2 linked regions of the Yarrowia lipolytica genome follow. The protein of the gene in region 2 purifies or fractionates together with the protein of the main gene of each other region. This does not show direct contact. Links are inferred from orthologs where the notes say so. Each region holds a gene or a part of one and is shown on either strand. Other genes may lie near its edges.

What was found. The genes of interacting proteins can lie anywhere in the genome.
Region 1: the proteins of YALI1_C30795g (region 2) and YALI1_E17466g purify together in Saccharomyces cerevisiae (affinity purification with mass spectrometry; 3 studies listed by BioGRID). This does not show direct contact. The link is inferred for Yarrowia lipolytica from reciprocal best matches to the Saccharomyces cerevisiae genes RIO1 and RPS2.

Annotation. Positions count from the first base shown.
Region 1 is NC_090774.1:1,744,769-1,749,516, forward strand, and holds YALI1_E17466g (40S ribosomal protein uS5), read right to left. Parts: upstream 1,846-4,748; coding exon 1,066-1,845; downstream 1-1,065. Other genes in the region: YALI1_E17484g (uncharacterized protein), read left to right, coding at 3,702-3,706, 3,964-4,417. UniProt on the Saccharomyces cerevisiae protein: Component of the ribosome, a large ribonucleoprotein complex responsible for the synthesis of proteins in the cell.
Region 2 is NC_090772.1:3,076,771-3,082,560, reverse strand, and holds YALI1_C30795g (uncharacterized protein), read left to right. Parts: upstream 1-3,009; coding exon 3,010-4,902; downstream 4,903-5,790. UniProt on the Saccharomyces cerevisiae protein: Required for the final endonucleolytic cleavage at site D converting 20S pre-rRNA into the mature 18S rRNA. Required for the final steps of cytoplasmic maturation of the 40S ribosomal subunit.

The DNA of each region.
Region 1 (4,748 bases), on a different chromosome or scaffold from region 2:
GACCGTTTTGGATGAGACAAGTTCTCAGTCTGTTCAGACCAGATGCTGATACCTCAGACATGGATGGTGGAGTGACGCAGTTTGAGGTGAAGAATCGATAGACCCAAGTACTTGTACTACACCAGTAGTCATATTGGAGCTCTTGGTGAAGAGTTGTACAACGCTCTCGGATAGTGTCGGCAAAATATGGGTCTACGGCTACTGAGATCCATCTGTACTTCATTTCAGGGCTACCAGACGTATCTCACCCGTAGGGGGTACAACTGTCACCAGTATGGTAGATACAAGGTCTCCCGCAGCGACACAGGGCTTGGACGGACTCCCAATGTTACTATCCACTTATAGTAAAGGGACCGGCACTTCCGCTCTCTCTATTGTCTCAAGCTTAACTACAGTCCCACAGTACATACTATACTAGGAACTGGCAAAGCTATACGCTCATTCTGCTGGGACTTTTGTGAGCAGAACAGACGGGAAGATTCCGTGGAGTTCTAGGAGTTCGGCGATTGAAGTCTCCACATTTCAAGTTATCAAGTCATCATCAAGTCCTATCAAGAGTCCCTTTGACCTAGTAGTGACCACTCACTCACTCGGGGAAATCAAGGTCTCTCATATGACTCTCTGCACGAGGTTCGCGAATGAGCTTCTTCTCCGAGCCGAATCTCAATGTCACCAATAGCAGCTCTTTAGGACTCTCACACAAGAGCACCTTCGAGTCCCGACTTCCAGCCCAATTGCGTCAGATTCACCACCACAGAAGGCTGGTCGAACTATGACAACATCCTTATCTGTGCTCGTCTCTTTCAAACCAATCACGGCTTCACAGTTACGAACCACAGCCCGTGCTAGAGTATGTACCTTGTACAATGCACTCGGTAAGACATATGAATGGCTTCTCGCTTATGAATCAGAATCCAACACTCACCATGGTGAATCTCAGTCTACAATACAATATCACCCGTGGTTCTACAGTTCAGATACACGCTCGCTTCGGTCTACACGTCCGTTCACTTTACTATGCAAAGTTCACTCGATAGGATACGCAATTTTTACTCTAAACTACACTTAGAATCGTCGCTTCTGGGAAGAGAGGAAAGAAGAGTGGGTCTCGAGGGGAGAGGGGGTGAGGGCAGTCTCGGTCCACAGGTTGGGGGTCAGGAAGCCGTAGGTGTTGGCAATAGCAATGAAGGTAGCCTTGAGGGTGTTCTCCAGGGTTCGGGTGGAACCGGCAGAAGAGGTGTAGACATCCTTGATACCACCGAGCTGCAGAAGCTTCTTGACAGCAGGGGAGGCAACAATGGAAGAACCTCGGGGGGCGGGGATGAGTCGAACGTTGACGGATCCACACTTTCCGGAGGTCTTGGTGGGGACGGTGTGAGGCTCACCAAGAGAAGAACCCCAGTATCCTCGTCGGACGGGGATGATGGCGAGCTTGGCAATGATGATGGCGGCTCGGATGGCGGTGGCAACCTCCTTGGCGGTCTTGATACCGAGACCGACGTGACCGTTGGAGTCACCAATGACAACGACAGCCTTGAATCGGGTTCGCTGACCGGCTCGGGTCTGCTTCTGGACGGGCTTGATCTTCATGACCTCATCCTCGAGAACGGGCAGGAGCTGGTCAACAATCTGGTACTCCTTGATGGGGAGAGCGTGCAGGTAGATCTCCTCCATGGACTTGATGTGACCGGCCTTGACAAGTCGACCAAGCTTGGTGACGGGAACCCATCCCTTCTCCTCGTCCTTTCGGCCTCGGCCTCGGCCACCTCGGCCACGGCCTCGTCCGCCACGGTCACCTCGACCACGGCCAAATCCACCTCGGGGAGCAGCTGCTTCAGTAGACATTTTTGATATATTTGTCGGTTGTGAAGATGAAATTCGTGGCTCGCTTTTTTCACTACCTGCAGTTGGGAGGAAAGAGTCTGTGACTGTTTTCCCAAACGGGAAAAATCATGTGACAGAGAAGAAGGCTAAACAATGGAAGCTTATTTGGGGTGATGAGATGGATGGGGAACGGGATAATTGGGGAAATTCAGATTAATGCACTCACCGATCTATTTAGAAATCGTTTTCGCCCGATTCAAGGAATAAATTCCCGGTACCGTTAGTAACGACAATTCATTAATACCAATAAAATCAAATTAAACAAAAATTAAGACCGAGAAGGTGTTGGAAAGGGTTTACACTTGAGATTCTGACACTTGTATGGCTTTTTATTATTTGTTCAGCCTTTTCACGTCTGTGGTAAGCGGTGGGAAGTGGTGATTAATCTGATTCAAAACGGAAAAAAGTCGATCAAAAGACTGTCATAGCTGAACATACAGAGCAGTCCGATTGCTTCCTGTTTGAAACGTTTATGCGCAGCCACTTGCAGATACTGTTGGCTGATTCTACTGAGCTGTTGGAGCTGGTCCCGCCTCTCCAGATCGTATAACGTTTTTAGCCAGTCCCATTGTAAAGACGGCACAGGCGGTGCGTGTAGTACCACTAACGGTCTACAATCCAGCTACAGTTTCACCGCTGTTTGGTAGTTCCAGGATTCTCGTCTAAACTGCTTTGCGCGCCAGCTTTAGTGGTTGGTTTCCGTTGGAATCTTGAATACGAGAGCTCGGAACTGACCATAGTAAGTATTTACATACTTGTAAAAAGGAACATTCATCACCAGCCTCCAATTCCAACCACATTAAAAGTAGATCATCACTTGACACAAGTGCGATTATTCATTTTCATGTTTCTCAGGAATCGACAACGACTGTGAACCGAACTACAAGTAGCCGACAAGTGTTCACCAAGCCCAGATTACGAGTGATGCTGTGATATCACATGTCCGCGACAACAGTTTATGTCTGAAAGGGTTATATTGACGCAAGCCCTCAGTAAAAGTACATTGTATCGTCTCAAAAACTGTTCGGTTCTCCTCTCCCATTTTTCGCACTGATTCCTATCAAGATTCCTCTTGTCGGAGCCGCTTGTGCTTGACTCTCGTATATTGCGGACCTCATCGCCTGTTTCATTAATACAATGCAGCATGTATCGTAATTACAGTACCTGTAAAAATTAAATTTATGTTTTTTTTTTTTTTTTTTGTTTTTTTTTGCACATGAGAAGAAAAATAAAACAATGGAGCAGGCTTTGCGGTGGTACTGGCCAAGTTACAGTACCCATTAACAGTAGCAATCCATGAACTCGTACTCCGTCGAATGATACAGCATCGCACATGTTCAACTAGTGCCACCTCCACTCAGCAAAGACAATAGATGATCAGGATCATCGCAGGTGTTTTTCTTGTGCATCTCAGCCAGCCGCCGCAACAGCAAACACAGACTACAGCCCCGTTTTGTTCCGTCCTGGGCCGGGTGCATGAGACCTGTGTGTTTCGACACGCCACTGCAGCAGCAAACATATCACATGTTTTAGCGAGGAGGGCAGTTGGTGGCGGGGCTGGGAGAAGAAGAGTGCTCTGGAGGACCACACACGGTATATATAAGACATTCGAAAGGACACAAAACACAAGGGCTCCTTCCCACATAGTTCCACATGTCTCTAATACTGCACACACCCTCCAATAGTTCCTGCCGACCTTCTGCTTAAGGTTCGCTTGATCGGCAAGTGGTTAGTCTAGGTTTGGAGTCAGGCGTCGTCAAGTTGCTACCAGTTATATTATCACCTCACACTTCCTTCCAACCACACAAAAAACCATCATGTCGTGAGTAACAACCCGGAGCTATTGGACGCCCAATAGTAAGGACCACACGGATACTGTGACGAGCAGTACCATGCCACATGACCTCAATGGTTCATCATACAAGACCGCAATGGCAGTCACCGGCTACAAGTACCCAGACGGCGAGTTGTACGAGACGACTCAGAGACTGTCCATCGCACAGTGGCCGAGGCAATCAAGACATGTTGACCAGGCAATTTGCACACGACGCCTCCCGCCACACACCGTTACTAACCCAGCCACACTAACAAGAACGAGAGCTACGCCGACGCCGCCCACAAGGCCCCCCCTCAGACCAAGGAGGAGAAGCAGTGCCCCGTTCTGACCCCTGGCCAGCAGGAGGAGATCGAGAAGAAGGCCGAGAAGGTCGAGAAGGAGTTCCGAAAGGTCGAGAAGGATGTTATTGCTAAGAAGGAGGAGCTTGCCGAGGAGCTCAAGAAGGACGGCAAGGCTCTGTCCGAGAAGTCTTCCGAGCTCTACGCCAAGATCTCCAACGAGCTCCAGAACCCCGTCGTTGCTGCCAACGTTGTTGTCGGCATCGTCGCTGCCATTGGTGTCGGTTACTCCGCTTACCAGAAGCACACCCGAGGTGAGCTTGACGGTAAGCTGGCCGGCATCTACGTCGGAGGCCTTGCTGCCTTCGGTGCTTTCCAGTACCTCATTTCTGCTCGATCTTACAAGAAGTTTGAGTAAGCCAATAATTAATTGATTAGAATGTGTATTTGCCCACCCTACCGCGACCAACTACTCGCAGCTTTTGAGTGCCTGCTTGTGCTTGTAGTTATTCTGACTAGTGTCGCCACCGTTGGCTATTTAGACCAGCTCCGGATGGTCACCTGGCGTTTTAGGTTCACATGCGTTATCGGGGTTGGGGTTCTACTGAGTTGGGTGTTAGGATATATATATATATACTATGTCTATATCTACGAGCTCAAGTTTTTATGTTGTCGTAAGCGGACGACCTGAGGAAAGTCTTTTCTACATTTGCATATTAACAGAAACACAAGTACCTCCAACATGAGTC
Region 2 (5,790 bases):
AACAACCTAATTTTCTTTTAACAACTAAAATAAATCAAAATAAATAAATAAATCAAAAAGAGCGCAAAATCAAACAGACAAATTACACCACAAAAATGAGCACCCATTACCATTTAACTAACATATCTCATGTGGTCACGTGACTGCACGTGACCCCCAAGCCTCCACGAATATCCTCAACTTGCTCCCTATCAAAGGTGCAGCAACCTCCAAGGTCCCCAATTCGAAACCTTAAACCAACCACTCTTAATGAACCACTTATGCCATATAAGAGGTTGGTTCCTTGTACTGATTATTGGAAATACTCATTATTCAGCAATTTGGTACCATTCGCTCGATTCTTTTGATACACCGTTATGCTTGCAACATATTCGCCGTTCGCCGTTCGCCATTTTCCCAATGTCGATTGGGGGGGGGGGGGGGGCGGAAGTTCATAAACTGTGTGGGCCTGAAGGGGTTGCAAAGTCATAACCCTGTGGGCCCGCCAGGGCAGGGCTGTCGGTCAATAACCTGTCCTACCTTTGGGAGTTTGGGTCATAACCTGTTGGCCCGCCAGGGCAGGGCTGTGTCGGTCATAACCTGTCTACCTTTGGAAGTTGGTCATAACCTGTGGCCCGCCAGGGCAGGGCTGTCGGTCATAACCTGTCTACCTTTGGAAGTTGGTCATAACCTGTCGACTGCCCAACTCATAACCTGACAGCCGCCCATGCATCAACGTGCATACAGGAGGCGTTTTCCTTGGTCATAACCTTTGTTGGTCATAACCTGTGGCGTAAAAAAAGGAAACTTCATTTGCCCGTTACCGCTCATGCCCCATCCACCTGACCTTCGCAGTGATTTCTTTGATATCCCAGATGCAGATGCGATACCTGCTGTCGATTCGGATTCCAGAATGCGATACGTTGATTGCGATACCCTTACCCTATACCCTAACCTGTTGATATCAGGCAAGAGCTGAATTGTGCTGTTTAGAGGCAACTGCAGGAGGCGGTGCATGTGAAAGCGTTATCGTGGTTCGGGAATTGCGGTGGCAACACCAGGGCTTATTGATTTATGGCTTGTAAAGTATGGGTTATGGCTTAGTAAAGTATGGTTTAGTAATGTATGGCTTACTACTCCACGGCTTACTCATCTACGGTTGACTAACTCAGAGCCCTTTTCGCCATTGGTTGGAGTGATCCAATGGCGAAAAGGACTCTGCCCAGAATTCTTGGCGTTGCCACCAAACTTTTGGGTGTCCTTTTTTTGACTAGGAATGTGGAGAATGGAGTAGGTTTTGTTTGCTGGCAAAGTTGAAGGAAGTGGGATTATGATGTGTTTGTGGTTGTTTGAATTGTCTTGTTTTTGGGGTCATTTTGGAGGCAAAAATCGGCAGTATTTTTTGGTGTTTGTTTGGTCTTAATCTGATTTCTGGCTGTGTTTTTGTGGCCGATTCGAGATTTCGATTAGATTTTATCATCTTTTTGTATCGTCGTATTAGCCACGTTTGATTTTGTTGCTGAACTCTGATTGTGGGGCGGCGGCGCGCAAAGGGGAAAGCGGTTTTGTCGGTTTTTAGGCTGCGAAACCGAAGGGAAACAGGGCGTTCGCGGTACCGTTGGAGTCACGTGATTTTTGCCTCTTTGCTGGGCGTTCGAATGGTTTTTTTTGGGCGGAATCCGGACATTTTGGGGTCGGTTCTTTTTGGGCGATTTTTTTATTATTTTTGAGACTATTTTGCCATTGGTCTGAAAAGTTTAATTCAATCAAGAAAACGATAAAGAAACCCAAAATGACAGAATGCAAAAGTGCAATACAAGAAATCATATGACGGCAACCCGAGCAGCGATAATCCCTACAAGTATATATAGGGCGGTGGTATGGTCCTTTTGACATCTTCACAGACAATCATCGACAGAGACTCAATTACCCGAGACTCAATCACCACCAGACCCATCTAACCAGTCGCTCAAGAAAAACTCCGCCGGACGTTTTTTTTTAATCCACCCGAACAATCTCACCAACTACCAAAATGGCCTGCTCTACCAACTGCCACTGCACCAAGCCCTGCACCAACTGTGCCTGCGACACCAAGTCGTGCTCCTGCGGACCTTGCAAGTGCGAGTCTTGCCAGTGCACCAAGGCTTGCGAGTGCGAGAAGAACCCCGATTGCAAGTGTGAGACCTGCAAGTGCGAGGGAGCTTGCAAGTGCTAAGCCCACTGATTTATTCAATTGATTTTCCGTTGAGAAGTACTGTATTTGTAGAGTAGTTTTCTCCGAATAAAAGCACAATTAGAAAATGAAGAAGAAAAAAGTAGGGGAAAAAAAACACATAAAAACTGAGTCGAGGGTGATTCTTGCAAACGCAGGTAGGCTCGCAAGTGTTGAATTTTCGACAGATTTTATTCAGATTCTTGCGTAGAAAAATGCTCACAGATGTATCGTGAATCTCCTAATAAATAAAATATAAATGTCGATTGGAAAATCTTATAATTTTAAAAGAGGTTTGTTTTTTTTTCTTTTTTTTTTTCTTAATTACTGAAAGAGAACTGATACATCTGAGAACTCTGGAGCTGAAAATTCCAGAATATTGAAAATTGCTAAACAACTGACACTCTTACATATACATTGATGGTTGGGTTGGGTTGTTGAATTTTCTGAATCATCATCCATTCCTCACAATTTGTATTTCTTTTAATTTTAAGTATTATTTAAAATCGAATTCCCCAACTATTCTTTGATTAATGTATCGCCACATCTAGAAAAAAATGGAAGTATATCTAGACAATATCTCCAGCCCCAATGATTTTTAGATCAAGTGATACCCCCACTCATCTATATACCTCACTTGACATGTTTACCGTTCCATGTGACAATTTTTCTGATTTTCCGATTTTTTCCTATATTGAAATTCAAATTACATTTATTAATTCCCCAAATAACCTTTGATCGTGCATAACCTCTTTTTTTTAAAAAATTCTACATCACTTATTTTCTGTGCACACCAACGCATCTAGAAGGACAACAACATGGACTGGGAACGCGAAATTTCGAGCGGAGCATCTTCGACACTGCTGCCCTCGACAGATCCCGATTACAAGGAGCTTGACGGGGTCACTGTCGATTATGAGGACCTTATTGACGAGGACGAAGAGGAGGAAGACGAAATCGTGGAGGACGACTACGAAGAGGAAATCACCTCGGGAAATGTGACTAAGCGGTACAACAAGCAGAAGAAGGTGGTTGCAAGCGTTTTAGGCGAAAAACCGGCACAACAGACCGCTGACAGCGACCTCAGCAAGTACACGGGCCGATTACGTATGGACGACGACTATCTTGATTCACTGACTCATCAGGGGCTTGCTGCACGTGATGGGCAGGTGAAGGGCAAGAAAAAGTCGTCTGGAGGTGGATCTCAGACAGGTGGCAATTCTGCTCTCATGGGGACCGCCACCAAAGACCGGGCTGATCGAGCCACTAATGAGCAGGTTCTGGATCCCCGGACCCGAATGATTCTGTTCAAAATGATCAACCGAGGAATTATTTTCGAGGTCAACGGGTGCGTTTCCACCGGCAAAGAAGCCAACGTGTACCATGCGTGCACCGAGGAGGGCGTTCATCGTGCCATCAAGATCTACAAGACGTCAATTCTGGTGTTCAAGGACCGAGATCGATATGTGAGTGGAGAATACCGGTTCAGACATGGCTATTCGCGCCACAATCCGCGCAAAATGGTCAAGGTATGGGCTGAAAAGGAAATCCGAAACCTCAAGAGATTGCATACCGCCGGAATCCCGTGTCCGGAACCTCTTCATTTACATCTTCATGTTCTGGTGATGGGGTTTCTGGGCGACAAAAAGGGATGGCCCAGTCCCCGGTTGCGAGATGCCAAAATCTCCGAGCTCTTTGCCAACCCTGCCGAGGAATACACTGCTCTGTATCATCAGTTGTGTGCGTACATGCGAATCATGTATCAGAAGTGTCGGCTAGTCCACGCCGATTTGTCTGAGTACAACATTCTGTACCATGAGCGCAAGTTGTACATTATCGACGTTTCGCAGTCGGTTGAACACGATCATCCTCATTCTCTGGAGTTTCTGAGAATGGATATCAAGAATTGCAATGATTATTTCCGGAAACATGGAGTCAGCGTGTTTCCCGAGAGAACACTCTTCCATCTCATTACCAGCCCGTTTCTGGAAGACATCAAAATCACCGACGAGATCTCCGTTAGTTCCCGGGAGTTGGTGGAGGTGGATGAAAAGGATGGTGAAAAGGGCGACAAAACGACTGGAGACAAGAGTGACGATAAGGCTGAAGATGATAAGAGTGAAGACAAGGGCGAAGACAAGGATGAACACAAGGATGACAAAGTTTCCGTAATCGATGACTCCACTACTGTCTGTGACACTTCTGCTACCATGTCTGGCCCTGCAGAGGCGAAAAAACGAATGGAGGAAACAGTCGACTCGCTCACCGCATATATCCAAGCGATGCCCATTGAAGAGTCCACGGACCAAATAGAGGCCGATGACGCCGTGTTCCGGTCGGTCTACATTCCCCAGAACCTCGACCAGGTCTATGACGTCGAGCGAGACGTGGAAATGGTCAATGCCGGCCAGGGCAAGGATCTCATCTACTCGTCGCTCATTGGCAAGAAGGACGAGGAAGAAGACCAAGAGATGGGCTCGGAAAGCGAGTCTGACAACGAGAGCATTTCGTCGATTGACTCGGAGGAGCGCGAACGGCGGTTCCAGGAGAAAAAGGCCCTGACCTCGAAACTGGGCAAGAAGTTTGAAGACAAGGATGCTAAAAAGGAGCGAAAGGCGGCAGTCAAGGAGGCTCAGAAGGAGAAGCGCAAGGAGAAGATGAAGAAGGCCACCAAGAAGAAGCTGATTTCCAAGTCCAAGGGTAAACATTAATTGGCGTTGTAGTGGTGACGAGTTGTCGCTGGAGATGTGCAACGACCTTGTCGACGGCAATTCGATACCGGCGCCTTCTTGAGTCTGAACATGCTGGATCTGTTGACTGTACTTTACTCCTACACCCAGTACCCAACCTATAGATTATGTATTGTTAAAATCCAGAAATGATAGACGAAAAGAGAAACTCTGCCCGGTAGACGTTAGTTTCAGCCTTCTTAAGAAGTTTTCACGACCTCTTCACGTGATGATACAGTGTTATTTTCAATCCGTTCTCACTTGGTCCAAATGATGGGAACTCATTTCAATACTGTACAATTACTGTACAAATACTTAACCAATCAACAAAATTACTTGGACTATCTGAGAAAAATGTTGTTTGATGCAAAAAAAAAATAGTACTACCAAAAACATAAAAATTATATGAATATATCTATCCGATTTTTGCACTTTGGTTATATAAGCGGGCAAACCATCTACTGGAATATACCACCAAAGGCGACTGGTTCGAGGAGAAGCAAAAAGTCTCTAGTATGCAAAAACATATTTTTTTTTCTATTTTTTTTGTATTTTTTTTATTTTATAGTATTTTTTTATTTTATAGTATTTTTTTTATTTTACAGTATTCATTTATTTTATACTATTCTTTATTTTATCGTATTTGTTTTATATAGTATATGTTACAAAAAATGAGAAAAGTACGATTGTTTCGATATAGTCAACATAACCACTTACAACTCACTTCCCCACGTAGCACGCGCTAGAAGAGTGCTTACTCATTCACCAGAGAGAGATTCTAGATGAGCAGATATACCACCAGACACGCCACCGGATACACCATCAGATAAATCATCAGATACACCATCTACAGGAACAACTTCTTTACAA